2 linked regions of the Arabidopsis thaliana genome follow. The protein of the gene in region 1 interacts with the protein of each later gene in a pairwise test. Each region holds a gene or a part of one and is shown on either strand. Other genes may lie near its edges.

The links. The genes of interacting proteins can lie anywhere in the genome.
Region 2: the proteins of CHX6A (region 1) and AT3G57880 interact in a protein complementation assay, tested with the Arabidopsis thaliana proteins (one large-scale study listed by BioGRID).

The regions. Positions count from the first base shown.
Region 1 is NC_003070.9:2,548,858-2,559,783, reverse strand, and holds CHX6A (cation/H+ exchanger 6A), read left to right. Parts: upstream 1-4,554; 5' UTR 4,555-4,709; coding exon 4,710-4,988; intron 4,989-5,083; coding exon 5,084-6,103; intron 6,104-6,197; coding exon 6,198-6,860; intron 6,861-7,083; coding exon 7,084-7,578; 3' UTR 7,579-7,849; downstream 7,850-10,926. Other genes in the region: AT1G08160 (Late embryogenesis abundant (LEA) hydroxyproline-rich glycoprotein family), read left to right, coding at 1-112; ATCHX5 (Cation/hydrogen exchanger family protein), read left to right, coding at 710-1,012, 1,094-2,113, 2,218-2,877, 2,977-3,441; CHX6B (cation/H+ exchanger 6B), read left to right, coding at 8,311-8,598, 8,683-9,699, 9,793-10,446, 10,534-10,926. UniProt on the Arabidopsis thaliana protein: May operate as a cation/H(+) antiporter.
Region 2 is NC_003074.8:21,432,033-21,440,196, reverse strand, and holds the start of AT3G57880 (Calcium-dependent lipid-binding (CaLB domain) plant phosphoribosyltransferase family protein), read left to right. Parts: upstream 1-5,548; 5' UTR 5,549-5,929; exon of another isoform or gene 5,930-6,507; 5' UTR 6,508-6,560; intron 6,561-6,640; 5' UTR 6,641-6,677; coding exon 6,678-8,164. Other genes in the region: AT3G57890 (Tubulin binding cofactor C domain-containing protein), read right to left, coding at 52-426, 572-712, 801-908, 1,420-1,926. UniProt on the Arabidopsis thaliana protein: Required for proliferation and differentiation of shoot stem cells in the shoot apical meristem (SAM), thus determining the appropriate balance between the maintenance of shoot stem cells and their differentiation into other aboveground plant parts via the control of subcellular localization and intercellular trafficking of STM in the shoot apex.

The DNA of each region.
Region 1 (10,926 bases):
TTTCCGGTCGAGAAGACGTACGTTGAAGGCTGTGTGTACGCCGGTAATGATCAACGTTACATCAAGCTCGTTGGATGGATTCCAGAGAGTGTTATGCAAAACTCGTCTTTAGTTTGATTTATCCTCATCTTGAATTGGTTTCATTTGTGTGCAAAATTTGCTATATGTGACATTGATTGATTGTGTGTGTGTTTTTCCTTTTTAAATTTCCTCTTTGGTTTTGTTCTTTTCTGCCAGTCATTCCATTTCTCTTTTCTTTTCATCATTAATTATTATATTTTTTATTTTTTTGGGCTTAAAATGCTTTACATTTTTATTGCTCTGTAAGTGATTCGATTTTTATTTCTAATAATATATGACGATTTAATAACTTCATCAAGATTTTTATAACGTAAGATTACATGCAAAATCCGTATATGTCGGGATCTCTAACAAAACTTGGATAGACACAAATTGATGGAGGTTCTTAAATAAGCAGAGAGGTAAAACAAACATATAAATTAGTCGCCAGGTACGTAAACAGACAGTTAACAACAACAAGATAAAAAAAAAAAATAGAGAGAGACAAAGATTATCAACTATTTTTAGTAGTGTTAATTTCTTCTAATAAGACAATGTAACACCAAGATTTTGTAATTTTTTCTGGAAACTGTAAATCTCTTTCTCTTGATCTTTTTCTTCTCTTGAGAAGAAAAAGAATCTAGGAGAAATGGAGTCGCGTAACGAGGCATATGAGGGGGCATACAACGCAACCTTCTGGGGGGATTTCTCATATCATGGATATGGCTTTAGTGAAGACGGGTCCAAGTTCTGCGAACAAATACCGATTCTTGTGAACTCTTTTGGCGTGTGGGAGAAGCTAGATTTACCTATACGCGGGATGAAGATATGGGACTACAGTCTTCCCCATCTCGAGAGCGTAATCGTCCTAGTTCTCTGTTTATGGCAGTTTTTTTATTTATCCCTAAAGAAGATAGGCCTCCCTGTGCCAAAGATCACCTCCATGATGATTGTAAGAACCCTTTCTTCCTCTTTTGTTCTTTTGTATAAAAGTTGTTTGCATTGACTGATTGATCGGAAAATTATGTTGAAGGCCGGGGCAGCTTTGAGCCAAACGAATCTTTTGCCGAATGACTGGACGATCCAGCACATTTTATTCCCGGATGATACTAGGCCAAAAGTGCCTGAGACGCTAGGTGGGTTCGCTTTTGTCTTTTATTGGTTCATCGAAGGTGTTAAAATGGATGTTGGGATGGTTAGGAAGACAGGTACGAAAGTGATTGTAACAGGAATTGCCACTGTTATTCTCCCCATTATCGCGGCCAACATGGTGTTTGGTAAGCTAAGAGAGACCGGGGGGAAATACTTGACAGGAATGGAGTACAGAACAATTTTATTCATGCAGAGCATCTCGGCATTCACGGGTATCTCAAGGCTATTAAGGGATCTCCGGATCAACCACTCAGAGTTCGGCAGGATCGTGATTTCGACCGCTATGGTGGCGGATGGAACGGGTTTTGGTGTTAATCTATTTGCCCTTGTGGCTTGGATGGACTGGAGGGTTTCTGCGCTGCAAGGCGTAGGAATTATCGGATATGTCATATTCATGGTTTGGGTTGTGAGACCGGCCATGTTTTGGGTGATCAAACGGACACCACAAGAGAGACCGGTGAAGGAATGCTTCATCTACATCATACTCATTTTAGCCTTCGGTGGTTACTACTTTTTGAAGGAAATTCACATGTTTCCGGCTGTTGGACCCTTCCTTTTGGGTTTGTGTGTGCCTCACGGTCCTCCTCTAGGGTCTCAACTGGTAGAAAAGTTTGAAAGCTTTAACACTGGAATCCTTTTGCCACTTTTCTTGTTCTTCTCAATGCTGCAAATCGATGGACCTTGGTTAGCTAACCAGATCGGTCAACTAAGGCATTTTGACGGTCAGTTGTATGAAGCCTTGACCATCATCATCGTTGTCTTTGTCGCCAAGATTATCTTCTCAATGATTCCTGCATTGCTAGCCAAAATGCCTCTGACCGACTCTTTCGTTATGGCACTCATCCTCAGCAACAAAGGAATTGTTGAGCTGTGTTATTTTCTGTATGGAGTTGAAAGCAATGTGAGTTCCCATATTTAACTTTATATTCAAGACAATTCAACTCTCCAACACTTAATGTTTTTTTTTTTCTTTCTGTCTTATAAGATTATTTTGTTGTGTTACAGGTTCTTCATGTGAAGTCCTTCACGATTATGGCAACGATGATTTTAGTGAGCTCTACGATATCACCAGTGTTGATACATTACCTATATGATTCGTCAAAACGATTCATTAGTTTCCAGAAGCGGAATCTAATGAGCTTGAAGCTTGGATCAGAGCTGAAGTTTCTAGTGTGCATTCACAAAGCAGACCACATCTCAGGGATGATCAACCTTCTAGCACAGTCTTTTCCTCTACATGAATCCACAATAAGTTGCTACGTGATTCACCTCGTCGAGCTTGTGGGTTTAGACAATCCAGTCTTTATCTCCCACCAAATGCAAAAAGCCGAACCTGGAAACCGGTCTTATTCAAACAACGTCCTAATCGCTTTTGATAACTTCAAACATTACTGGAAATCGATATCGCTGGAATTGTTCACATGCATCTCAAACCCTAGGTACATGCATCAAGAGATTTACTCGCTCGCTCTCGACAAACAAGCTTCTTTTCTCATGCTCCCTTTCCACATTATATGGTCCCTTGACCAGACAACGGTGGTCTCAGACGATGTCATGCGTAGGAACGCTAACTTAAATGTCTTGAGACAAGCACCTTGCTCCGTGGGGATCTTTGTCCATCGTCAAAAGCTTTTATCTGCGCAAAAGAGCAGTCCGTCTTTTGAGGTAACACATATTTGAAGGTTTGATTGTTCCATACGCTAATCATTAGTTTCCGTGCTTGAATTTGTGTTTACGTGTGAAACTTGATTTGTCTAAAACCAGGTCTGCGCAATTTTCGTGGGCGGGAAAGACGACAGAGAAGCCTTGGCATTGGGAAGGCAAATGATGAGGAATCCGAATGTGAACCTGACAGTGTTGAAGCTAATCCCAGCGAAAATGGATGGGATGACTACAGGGTGGGATCAGATGCTGGACTCGGCAGAGGTTAAGGAGGTTCTGAGGAACAATAACAATACTGTTGGACAACATAGTTTTGTGGAATACGTAGAGGAGACAGTTAACGACGGTTCCGACACATCAACACTCCTTCTCTCGATTGCTAATTCTTTTGATTTATTCGTGGTGGGGAGGAGCGCCGGAGTAGGGACCGACGTGGTGAGTGCATTGAGTGAGTGGACGGAGTTTGATGAGTTAGGTGTGATTGGAGATCTGTTGGTGTCTCAAGATTTTCCCCGTAGAGGGTCGGTGTTGGTGGTGCAACAACAACAGAATGTAGCTTGTAGATGATATTACATTGGCAACTACTCTTTATTCATTTATAAGATACAAAAAATAGAAATACACTTCTCACACGAGACACATTTGTAGCCCCAAATTTTTAAGTGACAGTTCGTCTCCGTGGCCTTGTGATGATAACATTTGCAAATATGACTTTAAATTTAATTGATTCCACATAATTTTTTAAAAACAATGAAATCAGAAAAAAATAGTACATGTTTTATAATTAAATTAACATTCAATGTGAGAGTTACATCTATTTACATGTTTTACAAGTTTTAATCTCCTTTTCGCTATACAATAAAGAAAAACGGCAAAAATAAGCAAACTAGACAAATAAATTACATAGCAAATTAGTATATAGTCTTAAAAGACCTACTTGCCACCAATTTGATCATTAAAAATGATGAGAATTTCACGCACGTAGTATACATTCAATGAAATTACCCAATTAAAACCTTTAGAGGAATCTATTACCAACCAATAGGAATTGAGTTCAAAATGGTTTGTAGGTGATTTACACTTGTTCTCATTTCTTTATAGTCTTAAGACCACAAATACGACTAGCCAATGAATATTTAATGCCTAACTACTTGGAAGAATCTTAATCCTGTGATTATGCTTTACGTATACGTAGGGTTCAAGCATTAATTAGTAATTTTGAATTTGGAGAAATTTTATAAGAGAGTAATTTGGTATCCTGACCTAGGTACAATATTCTTTAGTTTATATTGTTATTTATCTTACCCTGCCTTGATTAGTAAGACTCTTTTAGTATCCATTTTCCTTTGCTATATTATTTGGTTTAATTTGCATGCTTAGCTGTTTGAATGACTTAATTTGTATGGTGATTTTAAAGTATAAGTTCCTATTTCACCAAACATAGAAAAAATTGTCAAAACAAAAATATATATATCCCTGAGAAAGTGTGCAAGTGGATGCAAAATTCCCTAAATATATATCGTTATATGTATAGCTTTGGCGTTGTTGATTGGTGAAATAGACGATGTACAATCATACGTGTGCTAATGTTGACAAGGAACAAGAGATGGAGAAGAATGAAGCTATAAAAAGAAAACAAAATGGGTAAATATTAACTGTACCTGAGATGCGTATCTGTTGTTTGCTGGTTATTCGACCTTAATTAGTCAACGTTTATAACAAAACCATCCCTAGTCTTCTTCTTTCCCAATCGAATTACAAACCCTAAATCATTCCATTAGATCTTCTTGATCCCTAAGCAAGTCTCTTCGTTAACTTTTGTCTTTCTCCTTAAAATGGCTACAGAGGAGATAGACATGAGTTATTGGGACGTGTCATGGGGAGAATTCAATGAAGACAAGAACTCGTCTATCTTCTGCGAGTCACACCCTCACATAGTAAATTCGCACGGGATATGGGAGGTTATGACTTTCAAGAGAGGGATGAACTTCTGGGAATATCCGCTCCCGAATCTCGAGATCTTAATCTTTTCTACTTTTTTTATATGGCGGCTTCTCGACATCTCATTCAACAAAATTGGTCTTCGAGTACCTAGATTCACATATATGATGATCGTGAGTTTTCTTAATCTCCCTCTTCCCTCCACGTTTTAAATTTTAAAATCAGTACGGTGCATATTCCTAAACGTTGTAATGCCTTGTTGTTGAAGGCAGGGATAATTTTAGGTCAAACTTGCCATTTCAGCAACAAGTCTTGGATCCATGACATTTTTTTCCCTGATGATAACCGACCAAAGGTGGCCGAGACCCTAGGGGCTTTCGGCTTCGTTTTATATTGGTTCCTCAAAGGTGTGACCATGGATGCCGAATTGCCATTTAGGACGGAGAAAAGGTCTAGTGTGATCGGATTCATTACAGTAATTATACCCTTGATTTGTGGCAGCCTCACTTTTAGATATAGAGAACGAAGAGGGGACTCAAGCATATTAAGGATGGAATACAGGTTGATCATATTCTTGCAAAGCATATCCGCGTTCACGAGCATCGACACACTCCTAAAAGACCTCCAGATCAAACACTCAGAGTTTGGGAGGATAGCCCTCTCTGGGGCTATGGTGACTGACATGTTGGCTTTTGGTGTAACATTTTTTAATGCAATCTACTACGAAAAATTGTACGGCTTCATGCAAACCGTAGGTTTCTGCCTCTTTGTCGTCGTTATGATATGCGTTGTGCGGCCGGCTATGTATTGGGTGATCAAGCAGACTCCAGAAGGGAGGCCGGTCAAGGATTTCTACCTCTACTCGATTTTTGGGATTGCTTTCGCCTGCTTCACTTTTTTTAACAAGGTTATTCATCTTTTTGGACCCGCGGGATCATTTGTTTTCGGCTTGACGGTTCCAAATGGATATCCTTTAGGTACTACTTTGATTCAAAAGTTTGAGAGCTTTAATCTTGGCTCTATTTTGCCACTCTTTGGATCATTAACCATGATGCAAGTAGATCTCTTACGGTTGTTCAAAGAGAGTGGAGATTTAATACGGATGGAGGGTCAAATCTATGAGGTCATTTCCTTTATTCTTTTGGTGAATACCACAAAATTCGTTGTTACCACCATAACCGCGTATGCTTTTAAAATGCCCTTGAGAGACTCTTTTGCTTTAGCCCTTGTGCTTAGTAATAAGGGGATCTTCGAGCTCGCCTACTACACGTACGCGGTTGAATTAAAGGTGCGTACAATTAAACTCTTCTATATATATTTAAAGTCAGAAGAATTAGTTTATTTTCATAAAAATTAATCAAATCTTTGGACATGTTTCACAGCTAATAAGGCCAGAGGTTTTCACAATCCTAGCTGCCTACACCCTCTTGAACTCTATCTTTATACCAATGCTCTTGGAGCTCGTGCATGACCCAACCAAAAGATTCAGATGCTACCGAAAAAGGAATTTGGGCATCTTGAAAGACGGTGCGGCTCTCCAATGTCTTATGTGCGTCTACAGACCTGATCACATAACTTCCATGACCGACCTCTTGGAAACTTTTAGCCCATCACAAGATTCCCCAATGGCGTGTAACATACTTCACCTCGTCGAGCTTGTGGGTCAAGCCAATCCTATGTTCATTTCCCACCAGTTGCAAAAACCAGAGCCCGGAAGTACTTCTCTGTCTGACAATGTCATAATCTCCTTCCGTGGCTTCCAAAGACAATTCTTTGAATACACATCGTTGGATATTTTCACTTCCGTCTCCGTGTCCCAACACATGCATGAGGACATTTGTTGGCTAGCCCTATCCAGAAGCCTATCTTTGATTGTGCTTCCTTTCCACCGAACCTGGTCCGTTGATCGATCCACGGTTATCTCCAACGATGATAATCTGAGAATGCTCAACGTTAACGTCCTGAGACGAGCCCCATGCTCTGTTGGAATCTTCGTCTATCGCAAGCCCATCGTTGAATCTCATATGGCTAAGTCCCACAGCAAGGTGCTTTTCATTTTATTTTGAAAACTAATTAATTATCCGTTTGGGTACGTGAAAATACAAATTTCAGAATTTTATAAAATCTAAAAGAATATTTTTGCAACGTCTAAATGAAATTAAATGCTGAAAGAAAATCTTTTCATTTTCCTTTACCATTTATGATGAACAAAAGAAATGGTACTAATATATTAGCATTTTTAACCTGATAAAACTCTCATCTTTGCAGATATGTTTGATTTTTAACGGTGGAAAAGACGATAGAGAAGCTTTGGCGATAACAAATCGAATGAGACTGACAGAAAAACGAACAAGGCTAACGATCATAAGATTCATTCCAAAATCTTCTGAAATGGATAACGATGAGTGGGAGCAACAGCAATCGATTAACCTAAAGGAGTCCGTGACTAGCATCGTTGGGTCCAACATCAAAGAAAATGATGCCAAGGTGACATATATCGATAAGGCGGTTTCTGATGGATCTGAGACCTCAAGAATCTTACGAGCAATGGCAAATGATTATGACTTGTTTATCGTTGGAAGCGGCAGCGGAATAGGAACTGAGGCTACTAGCGGAATTAGTGAATGGACAGAGTTCAATGAATTGGGACCTATTGGAGATTTATTAGCATCACATGAATATCCTTCAAGTGCATCAGTGTTGGTTGTTCAAAAACAAGTGTACATTCATCATACAAAAAGCCAAAGGAGAAAATCTTTCTAAGAAATAATGCGAGATATGTTCAATGCTCAGCTTTTCAATGTTGTATTTCTCTACATCAATAAACATTAGTTTTAGGCTGCTTGAAGTTATGGAGTAATTGATTCGAGTTTCTTCTGGATATGATGATATAAACTTCACGATTTTTTTAATCAAATTTTGAGTTAACAAGATTAGAGTAATTTCTTGTGGCAGTGCCTGCTCTATGATAACGCCTTCCAACTATAGCTGCCTTTGTTATCACAATTCAAAAATATATATTCTCTTGTAGTAACAGGGTCTGTTTAACATACACACTTTGTCACGTTATAATTAAGTTTAGTATGTGTTAGAGATATCAGAGGGAACAGAGCAAAATACTCTGTTTTTCTCAACAAAAAGAGATTTTGGTACCTAACAGAGTACTCTGCTCTGTTCCCTTTGATAAAAGATTGAATTTGAGGTCTTAATTAATGGATCATCTTATTAAAAATGGGTAAAGCGTTTATTTAGACTGCCTAAAGAGGTCATTTTATTTTAAAGTAATACAACTTACAAGCGCCAAAAACAAAGACAACACCTGGACGAGACAATCCCTATATTTATACCCTTATCCTAATTTTAGAGATCCTTTGGGATCTGTGTGAAACCATCAGACCGGTTTTAATTTTAGTTCTTTTTTTGACTGCAAAATCTTTTCATTGTCAATTTTTTTTTTTGTTCTTTTTGGTTTTACGTAGACAAGATTTGTCCCAAATGGATGCAGAAAATGCGACTTGGCGCAAAGAGTTCATGTGGAACAACGATGAGAAAAGAGCAGAGATGGGGACGAAGATGTTTTGCGATGTAAGTCCACATATAATGTTGAACTCACATGGCGTTGCAGAGAAAATGGCTTCCGGATCTAAGGGAATGGATTTTTGGGAGTACCCTCTTCCACAATTGGAGATCATTATTCTCTCCATATTCCTATTATGGCGTTTATTTGATATGTTGTTCAAGAAGTTAGGTGTTCCTATCCCCAAGTTCACCTCCATGATGCTTGTACGTAATTACGGGTTTCAAATATCCGCATGTCATTGGGGATGTTCGAATAATATAACACATTTTCTTTTCTTGTTCTTGAAGGTCGGAGCAGTCTTAAGTGAGATGTTTGGATCTATGCAAATACCATGTTTAAAGCATATATTTATCCATTATAACCAGTATATGACAAAGGTTCCTGATACTATAGGCGCATTTGCTTTTGTCCTAGATTGGTTTCTAAGGGGAGTGACTACAGATGTTGGAATAATGAAAAAGTCAGGAACTAAGAGTGTTGTAATTGGGATCACCTCAATGATCATCCCATGGCAAATAGGAAAACTCCTTTATTCATCTAGAGAGAAATCAAGTATTCTGACCATGACAGAAATGGAGTATACCGTAATGACATTCACAATGAGCATGACGCCTTTCACTTGCGTCAACATGTTGCTTACTGACCTCAAGATAGTTCACACTGATTTCGGCCAAATAGCTCAGTCAGCGGGAATGGTAACAGATTTGCTTGCCTTTTTCTTGACTGTATCGGCTTACGTTAGCCGTGATGAAACTCAAGGAGTGAAAATGGGATTAGCTTTTATGGCATTCTTTATTTTTGTGTACCTTGTGCGACAATTTATGCTTTGGGTTATAAGACATACGCCAGAAGGAGCCCCGGTGAAGAACGTCTATCTCTACATTGGTCTCTTGCTTGCTTACTTATCTTATCTTTATTGGAGCCGCTTCTTATTCTTCGGACCGCTAGGGGCATTTGCTCTTGGTTTGGCTGTCCCTAACGGGCCGCCATTAGGATCAGTATTTATACAAAAATTCGATAGCTTCAACGAGGGCATTTTTTTACCCCTCTTTGGATCACTTAGCATGATCAAACTAGATTGGTCATTTCTACGAAAGGAGTTTGGAAATGGAAGGCATCTCCATGGACATATGTACGAGTGTTTTTCCTTCCTTCCCATCGTATACATAGCGAAATTCGCTACTTCGTTTTTAGCCGCCTTAGCTACAAAGATACCTTTGAGAGACTCAATTATCCTAGGTGTCATTATGGGCACCAAGAGTAGTTTCGAGTTGGGTTACGTACTTACAGCCTTCGAAAAAGACGTAAGAATATTTTAGCTATACTCATATAACGGATATGATGATCATCTTAATTTGTATATATATTTCTGTTTTAATGTTTCTCATTTTTAACAGAGGATTAGTCTGGAGGTCTTGTCGCTCCTGGGCGTATACATTCTCGTAAACTCTTTGTTAACACCAATGGCTATACATTTCCTGTATGACCGGTCTAAGAGATTTGTGTGTTACGGAAGAAGAAACTTGAAAGAGAAGCCAGAAATGCAAACGCTGGTGTGCATCAACAAGCCTGACAACATAACATCGATGATTAGCCTTCTTAGAGCAACTTCCCCATCTAAAGACTCTCCAATGGAATGTTGTGTTCTTCACCTAATAGAGTTATTGGGTCAAGCTACTCCCACGTTTATCTCCCACCAGCTTCAAAAACCAAAGCCTGGAAGTCGGTCTTATTCCGAAAATGTCATAAGCTCTTTCCAACTGTTTCAAGAGGTTTATTGGGACTCCGCTTCCATAAACATGTTCACGTCTTTAACTTCCGCTAAAGAGATGCATGAACAAATATGTTGGTTTGCTCTTAGTCAAGGTTCCAATCTTATTCTCCTCTCGTTTCACCGCACTTGGGAGCCTAACGGAAATGTCATTATCTCAGACGATCAAACCCTAAGAAGTCTTAATCTTAATGTTCTGAAACGCGCCCCTTGTTCTGTCGGAATCTTTGTTTATCGCAAACCAATTTGGCAAACCAAAGCCCTAGAATCTCCGTGCCGTGTAAGTAACTACATTCTTTTTTTTTTGTTTTTTTTTGTTTATTCTAAATGATGTTGAATATTTTTTATTTTCATACATTAAATGCAGGTGTGCTTGATTTACGTGGGTGGGAATGACGACAAAGAGGCCCTGGCATTAGCTGACCACATGAGAGGTAACCAACAAGTGATTCTAACGGTCTTGCGTCTGATCCCTACGTCTTATGCCGATGAGAGTAGCTTGAGGATTCATAGCCAAATGGTAGACATGAACCGTCATGAAGACCAAAGGCCTGGAGATAAGTCAACCATCATTGACTGGACGGTGGGAGATGGCACAGAGACATCCAAAATTTTGCACTCCGTGTCTTACGACTATGATCTATTCATAGTCGGTCGAAGAAGTGGGGTTGGTACTACAGTCACCAGAGGACTCGGGGATTGGATGGAATTCGAAGAACTTGGAGTCATTGGAGATTTGTTAGCATCTGAATATTTTCCT
Region 2 (8,164 bases), on another chromosome or scaffold:
TGCACAGAGATTCCATGACTGGAAGAAAAACGGAACAAGGAACAGTCAGACCTTCACAGATCTACCCCTTAGATCGGAGGCTTGCTTAACAAGTGAAGTCTTGGAGACTCCCTCGATTAAACACGGGCCTCTAGTACTAGGTGCAACCTTGTTCGGAGCAGCACAAACATCTGACATCGCATCATCTTGATCGTTAGAAGGTCCGTTCTCTTTTCCAGAAATTCTCTCAGTAATGCTTTCTAAAGCGGAAGCTATGTTTTGCAGAAGCCAGTCATGCACTTGGGAAGCGGGGACTGGAACAGCGGGCATATCCGGATCAGAATTTGCAAAAAAAGGAGTAGCTTGGCTCAATGGAGATACATCAGATCCCTTATCACCAAACTGAACAAGAAAACGCAGATGCTCGAACGCCTCCATAGAGAAAACCTGAACGATATTGGACAAGAAAAAAAAAATTAACTTGTGTTCTCTTTCATTTCCTAAAAAATTCTTATTCCAACATCAGAATTTTATATTCTTGTAGCTTAGAACAGTGACACCCCCTGAGAATATAAGAAAGATTAGAACTTACCAATGATTCATCTCCTTCTCCCTCCACAGGCTCTGCAAGGAGAGAAATGATGTTTGCTAAATGTTTTTGCAGATATGACAACTGATGAGCTTCATCATCTGCCTGTGATGGCATAAATCGACGGCTGTTGCTGCGAACAAGCTGCAGAAATGATGAAAAGGAGATATAAATAACAATTTTAGCTCCAATAAAGTTGGTTCGACCCATGTGATGAGAAACGATAGAATACCAAAGAACAGTGACTGTAGAAAACACTGAAAAGCTTAAGATTATATGACTGTTTTCTAAAAGACTCAATAGAACATCCATACCACACAGGAAACAGAATATTACAGGACTGGAGACCCGAGTCAAAATTCAAGAACACACCAAGCATTATCACCAAATAAACCACGTGAAAGGACCAAACAAAATAAGGTACAACGGAAAAAGAATCAGATTCCGAACCACAAAACAAAGCAAGCTGGCGACTGTTTGACTTTAGTTAGTAAACTAACCAATTACCATTGCCCCAGAGTCATCAGAGAAAGGGGACTGGCAATTAAATACAAGTAAGCATCTTCCTCATTGAGAATTGTTACGAAACTATAGCCACCATCAATTCAATTAATCACCCAAATTTCCGACATTGCTTAACTCTAAGTTTCAGGTAAATCAAATGACTCAGAAAACTTAAACTTGCATTGCAAATTTTAGTTAAATACAATGCGAAATGGAAATAAGTTATTCTCTACCACGTTCCAATTCCATACTCGAGTACAACAGTTCCATTTCAATACCAAACAAATCGCAGGCGCTGGGATTGAGGCACATTATAATAAGAGGGCCAAAAAAAGTAAGAAACTTGCCTGAATTGGCGATAACGCAGACAAGTATCCATCAAAAGCTGAAGTCGATGGCCAAACATCAGCCACCGCTGCGGAGTCCTTATGCGTCCTAGGAAGCAACTTCTTATACGATTGAATGTACAGGAACAAAATAAGATCCCGCAAATCAGCTCCGACGGAATCAACTTCCTCAGGTTTCGCCCGAACCAGAGGGTCAGACTCGGAATGAAGCACCGAACCGAGAGTCTCGAGAACGAGACGCGCATGGTCGCCGGAGATCTGGAGAACGTCGGCGATTGCAGCCGATCCAACGCGGTTATTCGAAGCCGCATCGGCTAGCTTCTGCTTGACAGGGGCTAAGGTTTGGATCGGGTCGGTGAAAACGAGTTTCTGGATCGGGAGGAGTCCGTGCTCGAAAGACACACGCCTTGGATGGATTACTGAATTCGGATTCGTGCTCGAGTTTGGTTCAGGGTCGGGTGCTGAAGGTGGTGGTGATTGGTCGATGAGGTCTTGTTCTTCAGTCATGATTGATTCGTCGCGCGAGGTAGAGAGACAGAAGAGATAGAGAGAGACTGGTCCGGTGGTGAAGTTGCAGATCTTTCTTTGGGTGACGAATCATTTCATTGAAGGAGAAGAGCAGAGAGAGAGATGGTTACAGTGCGTGCACGTGTATGTTAGTAACGTACGCTTCGTTTCTTTGGTCGTTGGATTTACGAGTAGATTAACCTTTGATCTGAGCTATGACACGTCAGATGAACGGAGATAACATGTTAACTAAAGAGGCCCATTTGAGAATTGAATGCAAATCGCATTTAAGTTTTAGTTAGGCCATTGTTGCAATAAGTTAGGTCCTAAGCGTTCGTCAAAAGGAGAAAAGGTGATCATCACAACTCATAATTAGGTTTTACAATAGGGAAATATACTTGGTTACCTAAGTACTTGTAAGTTGTCACTGTTAATTAAAATTGTTAGAAGATTAGTGGGAAAAAGAGAGATAAAATTGGGAAGTTTAGGCCAAAAGAACTCATAACTCGCTTTCATTGCAATTTAAATATTGTCCGCTTGTTTAAGGAAAATGGTTTGCAATGGGTAAACATCGTTTAAATGAGACGGTTATGTTTTTTAGCAGTTACAGAAAAAGGCGGGTAGAAAAAAACGGTTAGAAAAGATGAACAACCTAAAATTAAACCAATTGGTAATATCGTTTAAATAAGGCGGTTATTTTATTTAACACTTACAAAAAAGACTGATAAAAAAAAACGGTTAGAAAATATATTAAAAGAAAAAATGATAAATAATTTAAAATGAACCGTTAAATAATAGTTATGATTAGTAACAAACGGTTAAACAGTAAAAAAAAAAAACTAAATTAAAATATTTAATAAATAACTAAAAATATTTAAAAAACAAAGAAAAACAAAACTCTTTAGTAAATAATTCAAATACATTACAGTTTTAAAAATCTAAGAAACGTTAAATAACTAAAATATTCCAATGGTGAACAAGAGAGGTTGCAAACTCACCTATTTTGTTTAAGCTTTTAACCGTTTGTTTCAATCACCTATTCTTACCACTCGTTTCATCCGTCTATTGCAAGCAATTATTTGATTGGTAATCAAACTAACGGTTGAATTTATCGCCGTTAAATAAATGTTATCAAGCTACTATTGGAATTCGGAAAGGGAACACTATCAACTTTTGGATTCTTAGGTTATCTCATTCATTCAGCTAGCTCAATATTCTGATTTGATTTGATTTGATCCGTTTCGATTCGGTATTTGATTTAATTTGATTCGAAAAATCCGAATATTCGTAAGATTTTGGAGCAAAGCAAATAGAAAAATATAGTATTCGTAAAAATCGAATCAAATAATAAATATTGTTTTTTAAAAAATCGAATATCCGCTTCGATCCGTATCTTTTTATATATATTAGAAAATATAGTATATCTATATATAGATATCATAAATAGTTTGTGTATTGTTGTCATTTTATGTTTTTATGTTAAGATGTTTGTTTGATCATTTTTTTTTATGTTATGTTTTGATCAATGGCATCAAAAAACTATCGGGTTTTAGTTTTGGAATTAGTTTGATAATATTTTGTTGACCGGTGATACCAACAACGGTTATGTTTGGTATTTAGAACTTATTTTAAAAGCACACGGAGACACCAATTAAGGAACGCACGGATAAATTTTTTGAATATATGATATAGTTATATAGTATACATATTTTTTTAATATTTAAATGTATCAAAGCGGATATCCGCAAATATCACAAAAAATTCCGGATATTCGAAATTCCGGATATCTGGAAATTTTCGAAGTAAAGCGAATCACAAAATCAAGTATTCGTTTAAAACGAATCGAATAACAAATATCATAATTTTTCCGGATATCCGCTTCGTGCCCATACCTAATTCTGAGTATAAAATTTAATATTTTTTCTTTATGTAAATACACAAAAAGTGACCATGAACCGTACAGTTTAAAATAGTCATTTTTCGACGAAACAATTACCGTGACGTTGTCTTTAAACCTCTGGAGAAAAGATTTACATATTTTTGATAACTGGTTAAACTTGTTTAACGCATTAATCATCTCTTAAGAAAAAGAGTTGTATATATCTCTCTTGTAGATGTGATAAGATATGGATTACAAACTGTCATCTTAGCAAATTTGTCTTCTTCTTTTTTTTTTATCATTTGTCTTCTTATTACACTTATCAAATTATAGTATTAGTTATGACCGTAGTGGGTGACTCGATCGTGGTAAACGTACGGTGGACTGAAATCCTTCAAGTCGAAGCTATACAAATGCGAGCAAAGCATGATCAACACGTGTCATTTGCAACGACTACCAATATCTTCTTTAATTTCTATCTTACTCTAATTATAAAATTAGATTATTGTCCGTGTAAAGTAGCTAATACTTTTGATTAAATTATGTCAAAATACTTGGAGCAGAAGCATTCTCTTAACTACTCGGTGGCACATCATAAAGCTAGAACGAAAAGTAAAAGACGGCCCTCTCAGCAATTAAAGGTGCCACGACCACGAGACCGTTTCGATACTAAATGATTATATACAAATACTGAAATATAGTTAGTACTTGTTATTTAGTTTAAGAACTGAATATACAAATCAACAGATCAAACATATGCAATTTAACTACTAATATAGTATATATGTCCAACTGCCCAAGTCTTGTTTCATAAAATAATGAAGAAAACTTTGGTGACAAATGGAAAAAGAACATTTTGTAAACTAATTATGTCTACCCAACATTAGTCGGTAGAAAGATAATCGCATTTTTGTAACAATTGCTCCGAAGTGTGGATGATTTCCATTTTATACCTAATAAACTAAAATACCAAAGCCACAAGAAGAGTTCGCTAACGCGTTTAAAACTTGTCGTCTATCTATATCCATTTGATAGTATACATTTTGGAATTTTACCCAGAGTTATTTTCTTCTGATTCACCTAAACGAATCATGATGGCTTTTACATAGACAGAAAATAAAAACTTGTTAAAAAGCAAAAGCAGTGACCATTTATTTGTTTGTTTGGATAAACGAAGATAAAAAAATCCTATATCAAGTAAAAAAAGCATGCACATGTCTAGATAGATAAAACACATAAATGTAGGAATTATGAATTCGGATCGTGATAGAGATTTAGACGTTTAAGGTAAATTTTGAAGGAAAGAAAGATAAAATAAAAATACTTATGTAGACAGACAACAAGATAAAACGAAATGGGACCCCCTAACTTATTTATTTCGTTATTGACCAGAAAAATTAACAAAAAATAGTAACGGGGTCCAGCAAAAAGCAAAACACGGCTTTTGTATAAATGTACGTATGCTTCACCCAAAACACTCGAGGATGAGGAATCCAATGACTTCTTCAATTCCATAGTGTTTTTCATTTCTTTTGAGTGGCCAGATCAATTGCACAATTATGCAATAGTTTGTCTGCTAAAATTCCATATTTAGTAAGTTAATAAGAGGGATTATTATAATTTTGTAAAATTTGACCACCGTTGAAAGATTACGCAGGACCGTCGTCTCCCACACGTGTGTAATGTAGGGTATTTCAAAACTGAGAGAAGTATGTCTTTGCGTGTTTTTATTTATAAATGGACCCCACCTCGATTTGGTATGCAACAGTGCCTCTCTTTTTTTTGTATTTCACCGAGTTAAAAAAAGAAGGAAACTGTAGAAAAAAGCAGAAGAAGAAGACGACGACAATAAAACACAAGAGAGAGAGCACACACAAATCCCTTCTTCAATGTTTATTTACTCTCTCCAGAACTTTCTTTTCCCAGTACTTCTCCTCTGCTTTTTATTACTTGTCTTCTTCTCTCTTTAATTTTTTATAAATTTAATTTTGGGTTGAAAAAAACGAGGAAGAAGAGAGGAGAGGAGACTCTTTCTTTTAGTATTTATTTATGGAGGAGGAGAGGAGACTGTCTTAATCGTTTCCGGGTCTCTTATTCTGATCCATTCTTCTCTCAAGATCTAAGGTTTGTCTTCTTTACCTTCCCTTTTTTTTTTTAATCTTCGTCTAACTGCTATTCCATGTATTTTGAGAATTTTATTGAGTAGAGGGTTCTCTTCGTTGTAACTTACTCTAATGGCTATTTTCTCCAACTCGCATGCTCTCTGCTTCTTCTTCTTTTTTTCCCTTTCCATGGTTTTATTTTCTCTCTGTCGTTTTCTGTGTTTGGTGTTGTCTCTCATTGAAATCGAGAAACAAAAGAAGGAAATTTGGGTTTTAAAATCTTCACCCACAGCGTAATTCGCGTTGCTTCATTGTCTTTTTGGTAGTTCTGTTTCCGAGAAGAAGAAAAAAGTATGTTTTCTCTCGATGAAGTTGCTTCATGAATATGTTTTTTTTTTTTTTGGATTCATGAATTTGTGCCGTTAGATTCTGCCTTGGAGATACTAACGAGGTTTTTTTTTGTTTAAGATCTAGAAAAAAAATATACGATGCTTTATTCGAGATTCTTTTTCAACTTTATTATTTCTCTGCATTTTCATCACCTACCCAAAACCTGAGTTTTTTCACTTAGCTTTCTTTGAAATGGTTGTGTTCTCTCAGATTTACTGATTTTGAAGTGGAGAAGAAATTAGTTGTCTCGACAAACCCCACTAGTAAGTTTTTTAACTCTTTTTTAAGCTAATATTGAATATGAATGTTTAATAATCGTTTTTGTGGTTTTGGAACTGTGTAGGAAACTTTGTTTAGTGTGTCTTCTTAAAGCCTGCAAGATGCAGAGACCACCTCCTGAAGATTTCTCCTTGAAGGAGACGAGACCTCATCTAGGTGGAGGAAAACTCTCTGGAGATAAGCTTACCAGTACTTATGACCTTGTTGAGCAAATGCAGTATCTCTATGTTCGTGTGGTTAAGGCAAAGGAGTTACCTGGCAAGGATATGACTGGTAGTTGTGACCCTTATGTTGAGGTTAAGCTTGGAAACTACAAAGGCACCACTAGGCATTTCGAGAAGAAATCTAATCCTGAGTGGAACCAAGTTTTCGCCTTTTCTAAAGATAGGATTCAAGCTTCTTTCCTTGAAGCTACTGTCAAGGACAAGGATTTTGTCAAAGATGATTTGATTGGTCGGGTTGTCTTTGATTTGAATGAGGTACCTAAGAGAGTTCCTCCTGATAGTCCCTTGGCTCCGCAATGGTATAGGCTCGAGGATAGGAAAGGTGATAAAGTCAAGGGAGAGCTTATGTTGGCTGTTTGGTTTGGTACTCAAGCTGATGAAGCTTTCCCTGAAGCTTGGCACTCTGATGCTGCAACTGTTAGTGGTACTGATGCTCTTGCCAACATCCGTTCCAAGGTTTATCTTTCTCCTAAGCTTTGGTACCTCAGGGTTAATGTAATTGAAGCTCAAGATTTGATACCAACTGATAAGCAAAGATATCCCGAGGTTTATGTGAAGGCTATAGTGGGAAACCAGGCGTTGAGGACTAGAGTATCGCAGAGCAGGACTATTAATCCCATGTGGAATGAGGATTTGATGTTTGTCGCAGCAGAGCCATTTGAGGAACCTTTGATCCTCAGCGTGGAAGATAGAGTTGCTCCAAACAAAGATGAAGTCTTGGGGAGATGTGCGATCCCGTTGCAGTATTTGGACAGAAGATTTGACCATAAACCGGTGAACAGCAGGTGGTACAATCTCGAGAAGCATATTATGGTCGATGGAGAGAAGAAGGAGACCAAATTCGCTAGCAGGATTCACATGAGAATATGTTTGGAAGGAGGGTATCACGTTCTCGATGAGTCTACGCATTACAGCAGTGATCTTAGACCAACAGCGAAGCAACTATGGAAGCCTAATATCGGTGTACTGGAGTTGGGGATACTGAATGCTACAGGTCTGATGCCTATGAAAACCAAAGACGGCCGGGGAACCACAGATGCATATTGTGTGGCGAAGTACGGACAGAAATGGATTCGAACTCGGACAATCATTGACAGCTTTACACCAAGATGGAATGAGCAATATACTTGGGAGGTTTTTGATCCGTGCACCGTTGTTACTGTTGGAGTTTTTGATAACTGCCATCTCCATGGAGGTGAGAAGATTGGAGGAGCAAAAGATTCAAGAATCGGGAAGGTAAGAATCAGGCTTTCTACTCTCGAGACTGATCGAGTTTATACACATTCATACCCTCTTTTGGTGCTCCATCCTAACGGAGTCAAGAAAATGGGAGAAATTCACTTAGCTGTGAGATTCACTTGCTC